2 linked regions of the Caenorhabditis elegans genome follow. The protein of the gene in region 2 interacts with the protein of the main gene of each other region in a pairwise test. Each region holds a gene or a part of one and is shown on either strand. Other genes may lie near its edges. The genes, in order: F52H2.5 and C03A3.2.

Evidence for each region.
Region 1: the proteins of C03A3.2 (region 2) and F52H2.5 interact in a two-hybrid assay, tested with the Caenorhabditis elegans proteins (one large-scale study listed by BioGRID).

Annotation. Positions count from the first base shown.
Region 1 is NC_003284.9:2,555,978-2,562,101, reverse strand, and holds F52H2.5 (Peptidase_M10 domain-containing protein), read left to right. Parts: upstream 1-2,556; 5' UTR 2,557-2,593; intron 2,594-2,675; 5' UTR 2,676-2,696; coding exon 2,697-2,808; intron 2,809-2,858; coding exon 2,859-2,964; intron 2,965-3,014; coding exon 3,015-3,234; intron 3,235-3,292; coding exon 3,293-3,531; intron 3,532-3,881; coding exon 3,882-4,056; 3' UTR 4,057-4,126; downstream 4,127-6,124. Other genes in the region: Delta(24)-sterol reductase homolog dhcr-24, read left to right, coding at 1-88, 1,187-1,562, 1,606-1,784, 1,830-1,983; aat-3 (Large neutral amino acids transporter small subunit 1), read right to left, coding at 4,627-4,688, 4,736-5,066, 5,115-5,211, 5,945-6,048, 6,096-6,124.
Region 2 is NC_003284.9:11,260,117-11,268,126, reverse strand, and holds C03A3.2 (Transmembrane protein 104 homolog), read right to left. Parts: upstream 5,280-8,010; 5' UTR 5,217-5,279; coding exon 5,169-5,216; intron 5,113-5,168; coding exon 4,991-5,112; intron 4,681-4,990; coding exon 4,542-4,680; intron 4,496-4,541; coding exon 4,365-4,495; intron 4,024-4,364; coding exon 3,830-4,023; intron 3,770-3,829; coding exon 3,607-3,769; intron 3,520-3,606; coding exon 3,238-3,519; intron 3,190-3,237; coding exon 3,099-3,189; intron 3,057-3,098; coding exon 2,945-3,056; intron 2,435-2,944; coding exon 2,238-2,434; 3' UTR 1,803-2,237; downstream 1-1,802. Other genes in the region: C03A3.3 (Metallo-beta-lactamase domain-containing protein), read left to right, coding at 138-247, 295-373, 419-534, 616-736; C03A3.9 (uncharacterized protein), read right to left, coding at 829-1,116.

The sequences.
Region 1 (6,124 bases), 8.7 Mb from region 2:
CCGAGGATAGTGATAGAAACTCGGAGAATGTCGATTTCGTAGAAGCACTGATGTTCAACAAAGAAAAAGGATGTATAATGCTTGGAGAGTAAGATACATTTTTTATTTTTATTAGCGGCGGCAATAAGCCTTGAGTCAAAGCTCATAGCTTTTTTCGTTGTATACCCGATTTTTTTTTTGAAATTGTGGGAATATATGTTATTAGCTACGTTACTTTCAAAAAAATTTGTCTACCCCAGGTTTTCTAGCTCGGACCTAGTTTTTTGAGGCTTCTCCCCGATCTCAGTCTGGGAGTTTTAATCTGTTAGTTTTAGTCTATGAGTTTTCTGTCCTAAATGAAAGAATACAATTTCAATTTTTAATATAATAATTATCAATTGCATAATAATTTCTTAATTTATAATATAATAATTTCAATCAAATTTCAATATATCGAAAAAAAACTGTAAAGTAGTTTATAAAATTTTTCTAAATTTTTTATGATTTTTTTAAATTTTGAAATAAACATAAGAAGGGCTAAATTTTTTTTTGGATTCTCGCGCATATGAGTGACGTCATTTTTGACATTTTTGTGTTTTCCGGCTGTTTTAATAAGTAATAGGTTTTAGCTTCTTTTTTTCATATTTTTTTTTGCTTCATAATTTTAAACGCTGTTTGTCATATATTTTTCCAAACAAAAAAATATTTTTAAAAGTTAAATTATCGATTTTCAGGCCAATTTTAGAGTTTCAGCAGGATCTTTTTGGATTACCATGTTTTCTTTTTGGAAAAATGTCTGAAAAAATTAAAACATCAGGAAAATGCATAAATGTCTAAAATGACGTCACCCATTCACGCGGGAATTCAAAAATAATTCAGTTTTTTTTATGGATAAAATTCGGTATATTGGGACTGTATTCTATTATTTAAGGCAAAAACCACAAACGCAACTTTGTCAAAAAACAATAAAAGTTTGAAAAGTATTCATTTAAAAAAATGTTTTTTGTTTATCGTCAAAAAAAGTTGTTTAGTTTTTTAAACGAATGTTTTCAAAGTGGCTAGGTTAATTTGAGAAACTTTTTGAAACTATCGTCAAATGAAAGATTATAGTGATTGACATAAATTTCCGCAATTTCAAAAAAAAATCTATATGCAATAAGACGCATTCTCACCCCAAATATTTTCAAACTTTCACAATAAATTTCAGATTTTCTGATGGCCCAGACACTCACGATGAAGTCGTCAACCCAATTGGAAGGTGGTACAAAAAATGGTTCTACACTCACGTTGAAGATTTGATCAATAAAAAGCACGAATCCATTGAGTACATTCCACTCCGTGACTACTACCATCGTCACTCAAAGAGCATTTTCTGGGAGCTCAGAGACATCGTCCCATTCGGAAACAATGTCCTGTTTCGTTACTTGATGGCTTGGATGTGCCCCCCAAAGATTGCATTTTTAAAGGCAACAACTCCAAACGTTTTAAGAAAGCTGTACGATCGTAGTCATGTTTTGCAAGATATGCTTGTACCACTGGATAAGTTGGAAGAGTGCATCGATCTTTTTCACAAAGAAGTCGAAGTACGTTTTTCAGATTTTCCATATTTTCTAGCATTGTTTCCAGATCTATCCAATGTGGTTGTGCCCATTCTACTTGAAATCCCAACCAGGTCTCATGAAATTGAGAAATGCTACTCACAAGATGTACGTGGATGTTGGAGCGTATGGAGTAACATCCAAGGATGGTTATCATCACGAGAGAACAACACGGCGACTGGAATCGTTTGTTCGATCAGTCAATGGGTAAAATTTGCCTATAAATTATCACTTTAATAATTTATCGTTCAGATTCCAAATGACATATGCCGACATTTACATGACACGAGCTGAGTACGCTGAAATGTTTGACAGAACACTCTATGATTGGAAAAGAGCATCTTGCAAATGTATCGATGCGTTCCCAGATATTTACGATAAAATTTGCAGAAGTGGAAGGCGTTAAAATTTTTTATTTAAAGGTGGACTATGCGAGAAATGATTAAAAATTAATCCTATGATGTTAAAATGACCAAATATCATTTTTAAAAAAGTTTAAAAGGTTTCACGTTTTGATAAGACATGAAAAATTTTCCAAAACTTTTATTCTGCTATTTGGTGATTTTTGCACAATATCAATGAGGCTTAATCACTTCTACATTGTTCGCAGTTCACTTTTTTGAATTGATAGTCATTGCTCGATTGTTTTTCTCATCTCAATTACTTCATTGTACTGCTTAAATTTTATCATTTTACAGGCTCAATTTTCAGAAACGGCGTACAATTTTTGTTGGTCTTCATTTTCATAAGTTTACAAATCAATTAATTTAACTAAATACATTACCATGCAGAATAAATTTAAAAACAAATTTTTTTAAAAGTTTTTTTTTGAACTGTTATTTCACTTTTTTTCCCCATTTTGTTTTATAACTGCGTGTCTGCACACAATCGGGACCTCCACCCTCTCTGCCGACGCGCAAGTGTTACTGACCCACATTTAGTTTTCTTGGCGCGTTTCTTGTTTTGAATGTTGAACAGTGTTCGAGTACCTCTGTTTTTTCGTTTCAACCTCATTTGTGAGTTACTTTTTATTTCAATTTAGTTAAATAATTAATATCTACTTTGTTTTCGCAGAGTTGTCAATTCAGAAAATTTCAGACACTTCTACGGGTTGAAAAAATGTCGGACGGGTTAATTGACAAACCAAAACTTTTTGTTCAAGGAATGTTCGTGACAAGTACCTCTGGAGAAACTGCTGATGAGACAACAATGTCGAAAATTGACAATATCAGTGAGTTATTTTACAAATGTATTTTTTTCTGTTAAGACTAATTTTTACAGTTACGTATGGTCTCCAGGCAATCGAACATTTCCTAGAAAAAAACGATGGGCAGACTGAGCACTCAAAGTTAGAATACAAACGTGTTGTAGCTGACAAAGAAGTTGAGTACGTTATTATTAGAATTTGGATGAAACTGTTAAGAATTCATTTTTCAGGTGCAATCCAGATGGTGTGAAAATTGTGATTTTCGTGGAAGACATCGAGGTTCCCGCCAAACTGACTGCATTCGCCAATGGTAATCGAGCTGAGATCCACATTCCGAAGAGCAAAATTGACGAACTTTCCGAAGAGACAAATATCGATAAGCTACCAGCTAACGAAAAAGCAGCGTTTGAAATGCTTCTTAATCATTTTCTTCATGAGATGATGCATATGGTGAGTTTTTTCAAATCTTACTATTCTGATCATTTGGTTTAAATGAAAACTTTCCCAGTTTGGAGCTTTCCATTCTGATGTTGGAATCATGTCCGGAGTCATCCAGTTGTTCAATGAAGAAAATCGTATTGACTTGGCCATTTTGTTAGATGATCACTCTGCTCGAATTGTTTCTGAAACCCTTATTGGTCAAGTGCTCCCAGATCCACCAGTTGCAACATTTGTGTATGATGAGAAAGACAGATCGCTGAAATTCGAAAGCAGTGCAGGATTCCACACAGTCATGTTTCTGAACAAGTGAGTTTTTAGTGAAACTTTTCGAAAAATATTGGATTTTTTCAAAAAGTGGCAATTATTGAGTTTTTGCCACTTTTTGAAAAAACTAGAGCACTATCGTATGTTCGATTCCCTGATAATTTTTGAAACACACGTAAGTAGATAATAAAAACGGTATTTTTTTCAAATCGACGGCTTTAAAAAAGTGGAAAACGGAGTTTTTTCCGAATTTCAAAAACTCATATAAAATTTATCACTTTTTTTGAATTTTTAAGTATGAGATTTAGGTCATTATAGGCATTTTTAAAGGCAATTTTCGCTACTCCACCTTCAAAATATTTTTGCTCATTTTCAATAAATTTAAATTTCAGCTCCTACTACACAAATCGATTCTACTATTCCGTTGATATGAATTTTGAATGCATTGTTCCAAAAGATTCGGATTGGGATTCGCTTCTTGTTCAATTTGTCTATGGAGCATCGTTATTCTACAAAAAATCGTCCATTTACAACAATTGTGACTATGACCGCATTCGTCGCCGCTGAGCCAAAAACTACGTTTTAATTTATTTTTCACATGTAAAAACATAATTTTAGACACATAAACCATTTTAACAATTTCCAACTAATTAACCAGGGGTCTGAAAAAAAGAGGCGTTGAGCACCCGCATCTGGAGCAAGTAAAACGTTCCAGAACAATCTAACTTAGATTTTAAACTAAAAATTAGGTTCTAAACATATTCTACTGTTTGTGAAAACCTGTAACTCCGTGGAAAAAAATCTAACAATAAGTAAAAACCTTGTAAATTGCAATTCAACAACTTTCAGGAAAACCGATTATTAGCCAGAATATGTAGAAGTGTTTGAAGTGAGAATATATTTATTATGCCAAAATAATTATGGTTTTTCGCATTTCTACTTGTACGAATTGTCATTGTATTCTTTTATATCGGCGGCAAAATACTGTAAAATTGGGGGGAGGGGGGGGGGGGAAATAATATAGTTGAGATCAGTTTTTCTCGAACTTTAGTAAATAAAAGAAAACAACGAAAACTAAATTGGTGGTAACTGGGGATTGTGAGCGCCGAGAACTGAGAGCTACAAGTTTTTATGACACTATTCCTCTTTGTTGGCGTCGACAACCATGAACAACTTTTGCGTGAAGATCGTGACGGAATCTGAAATTTCCAATTGATCAATGGACTCCAAAAACTGAAATAGTTACCTGTGAGCGAGTCAATGCACTTTGGTTTTCCTTTCCATGCAATGAAAATAAGGTATACAGGGACACCAGACAGCATAATAAGGATTCCAATTGCAGTATCCTTCGGGTTTCCAAGAACTGGGACCAACACAAGAAGCACGCACCCAATGAAGAATATGATTGGGAAAACTATCGGCGCTTTCACAGCTCTTGGAGCATCTGGCATTGTTTTTCTAAAGTAGAAGAGCGCAAGGATGGCTCCTCCAATAGCAATCCAGTAGCTGACTTGAATGTAGTTGATGAGAGAGTAAATGTTGTTGGAGAGAAGAAGGTAGAGCAAGGAAAGAAGTCCCTGTAATTTGAAAAAACTTCAATACTAGTAAGAATGTGCAAAACTTACAGTGAGAATTACGGCTGGGATTGGAGTTTTTGTGGTTTTGTTCACCATGGTTAATACATTTGGCATTTGTCCTTCACGAGCTCCGCAGTAGAATAATCTGAATTATTTTAGTTCGCATTGTGTTGTTTAATATATGTTAATCTAAAACTTAGTCGTAAGTCTTGGTTGATCTTAAAGGATTAATAACGGTTATTGGTTTTTTAAATGTACATATAGACCCCAAATGTGTTCACTTTTTTAAAAATTAATTCATATATCTTTATTGCATTGAAAAAATTCCCTTATTGCAAACGTTTTGATAACCTACACTATTTTTGAAAAGTGTGCTTTTTAAATTATCCTCGAGTTACGTGCAACTTTTTGCATGTTTTTGCGTAATTGATTGAAAATTTGTTGAAATTAATTATTTATATACATCATTGATTCTTTTTTATACTACTCAGGGCTGTGCGGCAACCGGTAACCAAGTTGCCGGTTGCCGAAAATTTTTGGGTTCGACTTCGGCAATTGCCGATATCGGCCAAACATTTTGTAGCTCAGAAAAAAACATTCAGAGAACCTGAAAAATGCTAACGTTTCACTGTAAAAGAAAAAAACGACCATACTTTTTTCCAAAGCGCTCAAAAATATAATTTCAACAAAAAAATTTTCAAAAAAAGGCAATTGCCGGTTTCCAAAAATTTTTTGGCTCGTCAAATTCGGCAATTGCCGGTTGCCGAAAATTTTGGGGTTTTGGGGTTCGGCAACTTCGGCAATTGCCGCTTGCCGAACATCTCGACTGCCGCACAGCCCTGATACTACTTTTAAAAAATCTGTCTAAAAAAAGTTACCTAGAACTTGTCAAAATGACACCGTTTGCCGATCCAATGGTTGAGCAGGCCACAAATATTGGCATGCAGAAAGCAAACCATCCATAGTTCTTCTCCGCGAATAGCTGTAATATTTTTGTCAGATTCTATTAAGGAGCATTGGCTAACTTACAACTGCAACCGCTGGGCTTGCAAGCATCT
Region 2 (8,010 bases):
AGCGCGCCTCAAAATAACTTGTTAAAAAAAAAACATTCCAATTTATTAGAAGTAAAAGCATATTTTCAGCTGAAAATGTTGTGCAATTATACCAAAAACGCTATTTCTTGTTTCTTACACTAATCATTATTTTTAAGGTCATGTGGACTCCTGGACATACTCCCGACAGTATTGTACTTTGGTATCCGTACGCTAATCGTCTATTTGTCGGTGACCTCTTTTACCGTTTTGATGATATAATGTTCACGTAAGTCATAAATTATTATTGTTTGTTAAACAATTACTGGATTACAGCTACCAATATACAGACATTCGACAGTACGAAAATTCAGTCAGAAGTATTTTGAAGTTTGTGAAAAGTCAAGATGTTGAGGTGAGCTGGGGGTACTTTTGCCGAATATGTTTTAGATTTGTTCAGGTACGATATTCTGCATCAAAAAACGACACCGATAATAACTGCCTCCCAACGTTCAAGCTTTATCATAGGTTCTTATTGGCTGTTATTGCAGGAACACATGTTGGAACACATTTAAGGTACAAAATTGAAAAAAATATTTATTCATTTCAAAAAACTTTAAACATAGTTTGACTATAAAAAACAGTTAATCAGTTCAGAATTGATGAGGCGGAAGGAGTTCGTTACGAAACAAGAGATAAAAGTATGAAGATTGTGATTGGACGAAACATTGTCAGAAAGTTGATTGAAGCTAGAGAAAAAGCCACTCAAGTGCATTAATATGTATGGTATTGTTGAGTAAAATAATGTGTTTTTTGTTTTGACGTTCAATAAAATATATTCATACTTTTCATCACGATCTTATTTCGAATTCAAAGATTATTCCAAAACGGAGAAGACTGCCGATCCACTTGGTAATATTTCTTATGCAGAACTAGTCCGTCATCGTCTTTTTGTAATTCCGAATTGTTCAAATTGTCTAGTTGTCGATACATCAAACATAATAACTCAACGGTAGCGAATATGGTGCAAAGCTCGGTGAACATGGCGGATAAAGGCGTAAAATAGAGGAATAGAGAACTGAGAATGTCCGATGCTTCATTCATAGTTTGACCTTGATTCGAAATGTTCAATCCGGTCTGAGCGCAGGCAGATTCCATATTCTCTCCTATCCGATTTCTGTGTCTGTGAAAAGAGGAGAGAAGCAGAAGACCAGCTGATATCAGAGAAGCGATGAAAGAAACTGAAGAAGCCGCGCGGAAATTCTGACAATATGAAATTGACGACCAAGAAACCATTCAAATTCATAGTTTGTTACATATGTTTATGTTTTTGAATGATAAAAATGCTAAAAAATAATTCAAATGCTAAATTTTGTTTGAAAACCAAAAAAAAATTGAGTTCCATAGAATTGAACATCTCAAAACGCAACTTATGTAGATTAAAATCATCCATTCTTGTTGATATTTCATAGCACGTAGCTGGACCCCTAATGTTGATGGCTAAAAAAATTAATTAGTCTGTATATTACGGCTCAACAGTGATGTTTTTGACGCCTAAAATTTAAGGAAAAAATGAGTTCGAAAATTGTTCACATGAAGATTAAAATGGGACATTGAAACATAGCCAATCAGAAAAGTTTCGGACTACATTTTGTACACAAATATGCGTTGTAGACAAAATATATTTATCAATTGTGTCCTAAGCCGATTTAATATATTTTTTAAAAAAGTAAATCACAAACTGTTTCATATACTAAACACTTCCCAAACTCTGGTTCAAAATTGATATTTTACCTTACTCATTAAATAGAAAAAAAACTGTTTCTGAATACACATTTCTGTTTAAAAAAAAGTTATCCTTTAATAAGTAACACTTTCATCACATAAAACATCAGTTTAGTGAAATTGACCGGAAATTGAAGTAAAAATAAACGCGGGAAAGGATGGTGTGACTTGACTAGGTTCTAGGCGGCACGAACAGCAAATGTTGGTTTTTAAGTTATTAAATGCAAAACGTTTGATTTTTGAATGTTGGGAAATTGCACAATTTAGAGGGCATTGCGAGTGTCTGAGAAAGAAATGAAATGTTAATTGTTTTGGGCGCTGAAATGAAAGATGACCAGTGGCAAAGTACGGATGAGTTAAGGTGAGTAAAAGAAATAAATGCAAAGGGGTATGGGTGGGTAATGCGACTAGAAAACACTAAGCAAGTATATCCGTAATGTTGAAAATTGATAAAAGGGTGCATAAAACGAGAGTCAGTATGTATAAAAATGGAATCAGAACTTGACTCCAACAAGATTCAGGAGGACCATAATCATGGAGAATCCGGCCCAGGAGGAGATTAGCACAATCCAAATAGGGCTTTGGAATGGACTATTGTTTTTGCGAGGTACCGGGAAGTTAAGCACAGATCTGGCATGTTTGCGAGCAGCAGTGACGAGAAGGCAAGGAATTGCAAATTGAACAGCGACACCTGTAAATATTGTATTTAGTACTTGAAAAGCTCACAGAACATTGTTATTCAACAACAAAAAGTATAACAATAATCATTATGCTTCGTCCCCTAAATATGTACCTATCTACTACACATTTATGAGATTTGAAAGAAAAATGTAAGGGCTGGATTCAATCAAATTTTTTGCTGTTAAAAGAGGATTTTCGGGAATGGGTAGCCGTTTAAACAGTTACGATGTGGTGTCAAAAATCCAAAACGCACAGAATTGAAACAAAAACGTTTGGGACAAATAGTACATTTCGAGCTCGAAAATTCGCCAGTGACTGATTTTTAATTACCGTCTCATTTTTTGGTGGTAACAGATTTTTATTTATTTATGTTTTTATGTTTCAGTAAGTATTGAAATATGAACTACATTTTTCATGAAATTTATAATTGGCTTTTTCTTCAATTAGAAATGATAGCATTATGCTAACTCAGAATCACAAAATATTTGGAATTGATTAGTATCATGATATAATATCCTACCTGGGAAACTTCCGGTAATAGAAGCAAGGAGCAACATATCGTCTGTGAGCAAACTCAAAAAAGTAGGAAGTGCCAACACAAGAGCCGGAACCAACACATCGAATACCGATTTCTGAAATAAAACGAATAATTTGATCCCATTCTCTTTTCCAACCTCATTTCTAGCGTTTCTTGCTTCTCGCTCATCATCAGTATCGTTATCTTCAACCAAACTGTCCGCCTCGAGTAGGGACTCGTTCTCTTGCCTGTAAACCAAACTGATAATGTCAAATGTTGCAATATTATCAACTCACCCAACTTTCGGACACAAAATGTCTTTGACCACATTAAAATTATTGATCAATGTGAGTGCAATAATAGGGTAGCTTGAAGTGAGAGTGATGATTGGGAATAGGGCAAGGAAGTAGTCAATGATAGAGTAGATAAATGATGTGTTGCCATCATGGAAAAAGTTGAGAGTGTAGATATCTTGAACATGCTCGAAAGCAAAAGCTCCAGTAAGGGAAAGAGTGAAGTAGAATACCCCAACAACTCCATACACAAGTGCAATCTTGCCGAAAACGTTATCCTTGGTTCTGAAAGGACGAAGTTAATGTGATTGTTTCTAATTGTTGTTTTTCTAACTAGTAAGTTAATTTTTAGAGAAAAAATTATTTGCTTACCTCATTGGAGTGATAAGAGACGGAATACTGTGATGACACATGAAAGCATATACGGCACATCCAAAAAGTGATCCAAATCCGTGGAAGTTGTACGCAGGCGGATGAGCAGCAGCTCCGTCGCTAGAGAGTTGCATTGTTGCTAGGGAAATCATGAGAATAAACGCTGAAATTGTTTTCAAATTATAAATATAAATGTTATATTGTATGGATGTGATTAACTCACCCGCCCATCTTGAAAGCGTTGTCATAATTTGAATGTGACGAGTTTTAGTGATTCCAGCGATAACCATCGGAAGGCACACGACGACAACAAAAATTATCACAAAAAAGCGATACACTGTCATTCTTGTCAATATTTCTGGCCAAGATTCGTGGCAAGGATCACTAGATTTAACTGTAGAAGCGTTGATCGTGGCACTGAAATTTCTATTTTTATTTGATTCTAGGGGTGTAGTGTTTGGTGAAACAGACAGCAAAATGAGCATTATAAAATTAAAAAGAAACAAAATATATGTTTCCTATGAACGCCATTATCTAAGATGTTATTTTTTTAATTGACAAGTTTCTTACGACATATATTATCATTATTATACGCAATAAGTATTGAACTTCTTGCCCAAGCTTTATGTCGTTATAAATTTTATGAAACTGTTCAGTCAAACAGATGAAGCTAATGCAGTGAACCAGCTAGATCTAAAACATATTTTTGAAAATATTGCTGTTTTCCCAGTGACAGGAGCTAGTACCAATGTGCTTACCAAACGATATTCATTGCAGATTTTGGAACTGTAGTTGAGTAAATTGCAAGATCACCGAACAAGTAGATAATGATGGCAAAGTAGGAGAACACAAGCGAAACTTTTGACAAGAACATTGACGCCATCTCACTCTGCATAAAGTTTCTGCTAATTTTAAATTTATTTTGCAAAACTTACCACTTCAACCTTCTTTGAAATTTCAAAAGTGGATGGTCCATCGGCCACAACGACATCATCATATTCAACACGTCGTTTCTTAGAGAGAACTGCATTGGCAACGGAAAGTGCTTCGATGACAAATGTTGCAGCAACATAACTGAAATATTAGAAAATTCAAAATAATTTGGTAAGTATTTACTACTTCGATATCAAAAATCTTACATAACGATTGGGAAAATATGCTCCTCTTTCGTTGAATTTTTCAATTCTAATGCAAATTTTTTATAAAGTATGAATAATTTATTATTGACAATGCTCGTATTTTTATTCTAAATTTTTTTTTAAAATTGTATTTCGTCTTGTTTTTGAAACATGTATTTTGTTTTTCTTACATAAAACTGTTGTTTTCTAAACAAAATATCTTGTTTATCAACACTATCTTTGTTTTCTTTATCTGATGAACACACCTCATGAACGCGGAAAATGTAAGAAGAGTGATACTGAGGAGCCATCCAGCTGTTTGAAATGCTTTGGGGAGAGCCAATGCACCAGTTCCGACAATCAAATTAAATACATAGAGCAATCCGACCTATAAATGTATTGATTATTTTGAAAAGAAAAAGAAAACAGTATTGTATGACTCACCGTTTGGCTGTAAGTGCCACTGGTGCTGGAATCTGTGTTACTCTGCATTTTGACGAACAAATGAAGCAGAAACGATGGTTGTCTTATCACGTTATCGCTACATGCACCGACCTGAAAATTGTTAAATATTAGATGTTTGCTTTCTGAATAGAACAATGGGAAAAACTAATTTCAAATGGCAACTTTTAAATGAAAAGAAATAACATCAAAAACGATCTTTGGAAAATAAAAAAAAACATTTGAATGGTGTTATCGAAAAGCAGCGATCAACTAAACTTGCTTAATATGGAAAAGAAAAAGAGATGTCGCAAAGCGTAGAGAGACGGGAAGAGGGCAACGCAAAAAAAAACACGCGAGGGAGAAATGAATGAAGTCTGTTTACAACAGTGAAAGGGCCACGTCGTTTCGCGGGCATTCCCCTTTCCTTTCAGCTGTCTTTGCAACCGCGCTCTAACGCACTCCAATTATTCATTCAGTTGGAAAGAAATTGTGGGATGAGAGAGCTGTGTGTGGTAGGGGAAACCGAATGCTTTTGCCCCTGGCCATGAAAATGGAAACATTTTATGAGGAAGAAATCGAAAGGGAAAAGGTCAAAGAGGAATTTGGAGTGAGAGTGTAATATAATGAGAGGAATACGGGGAAAAAACTTCAATACAGAAGTAACATATTTGAAAGATTGATTTAAAATACATTTTCTTGCAAAGTATCTGTTAAAAAAAATAGACATTGTTAATTTTTGTTTTAGTTTAAGTGTTTCAGTTCAAAATCCTCAAAATCGATATTTTTTTAAATGTTTTTGCACTGCAAAAACTTATTATTTCTAAGAAACTGATTATATCACAAAAATTCTTCTAAAAACACAAAATTTTAAAAAACGTTCTGCAAACTAACATGTTTTCAGTAAGCAAACTTGGTCTGAATATATATTTTTTGAACAGACACAACTATATTTGCCAAATTGCTGATAAAACCATTGATCTCCATACATACCGCATGAAAACAATGTTTGTTATACAACTGAAAACCACACTAACTGATAAAATAAGTGAGAAAGAGGTAAAATTTTGATTTGATTACTAACGACCTAATGTATTTCGCCATCGGATTTGGTCAGTGTTGTTCAAAAATCAAATGTCAAAACATTACTAAAGCTGGTTGTAAGACATAGGGTCGCGTCCACCACAAGCACTATGATAGAAAGATGAGGGAAAAAAGAGAAAAAATTATGTTTGCCCTGTTGAGAAAGTCTTATTGATTCAAAGGTCAATAAAAGCTTCCATTTCAAAATAATCGAGGTGTTTGGAGAGGAGGAAGGGCGTCGAGGAGTGGAAAGGCGACAAAATGAAAGGCGTTAAGTCGAGAGTGTTATGAAAAGCAAAATGTAATGCGCTCTGAATATTGTGAGTAGTTTGCAATAGGATAATGTGTTTGAGTTTGGCTGTTTATATGAAATAAACAGAAAAAGGATTACTTAGATTAACTTTCATGTTTAGTTGTTTCGGTGAGATCTCTTAAAGAAATTATTGTTCAAAATGTATGTTATTTCTCTGTATGTGTTCTTTTCTAGTTTCTGGTAATCTGCTAATTAACAATCATAACTTTTTTGAATACACGGTCGTTTTTGTACTTGTTGAAAAACTAATTTCTTTTACTCTACAACAAACTATAATTTTGAATGTTAAAAAAAACATGTTTAAGGTATTTTGAAAATTTCAGTCGAAGTTAGGGAAAAATAAAATTTGCTCACAAGATATTTAGCCACTTTGGCACCAAAGTAGTGATTTTAAATAATTTCAAAATTAGTTCACTTAAAAAGAATTTCTCGAAATTTCAGTTGAATTAAAATTGGTATTCACCTACGTAATAAAATGTCGAAAAGAAAAAAAAATTACAGAAAACTTCAAAATACAAAGTTTAATATTGGTTTTTTTGGTAAAAATTGGTTGAAAAAACACCTCACTAAATTTCCTTCTCAACATAAATGATGGAATTTCAATAAAGCATTGAAATTTGATGCTGCCAAAAGTTTATACTTTTCAGAAGGAAATATATTTGAAACTCGATCATTGTATTGAGAGAATACAAAGAGAAGACCACGTGAGCCTATTCACCCGCATACTTAATAACCAATGACATACTTAAGTTTACGCTGCGAACAAATTCCCTTTTCTGAAGACCAATTTAGACTTTTAACTAGACCGTTTAGACTTAACTTGTCTTCCTCGACAGAGAAATAGAGAAAAGTTTCTCCAATCAGCTGGAAACATTTTGAATATTTCTTCAAACTCATATCACATTCGATGCACCATGACAAGAACTTCAATAAAACAATAAAAATATAAAAAGTTAGGAGTCAAATTTTTTTAAAATTTAAAACTAAAAAAAAAAAAAAAAAAAAAAAAAGATTAATTTAAAAATTTAGAGTGACAGATTAATTTATAAAGTTAGAACGACATATTAATTTAACAAGTTAGAACGACAGATTAATTTTAAAAGTTAGAGTGACAGATTAATTTATAAAGTTAGAGCGACTCGTCTTCTCTACTTGTTCCGCCTTCGGTACACAACACCTTGCTAGCCTTCCTAGCTTTTCTAGCCATTTTCCATCATTTTTGAAAAAAAAATGTGCAAAAAAATGTGCAAAAAACGTGCAAAAAAACGAGTCGATTTTCCAATTATTATAAATGTTTAATTCTGAATAATATTATAGAATATTTTTTAAAAAAATTAAATAATTTGATTAGTAAACAAAATTTTACAAGCAGCCGATACATTTGCAGTAAAAGAAAAAGTGACACAATTGAGGCATTGGGGGAGTAGAAAATTGGATTAACAAGTTGAT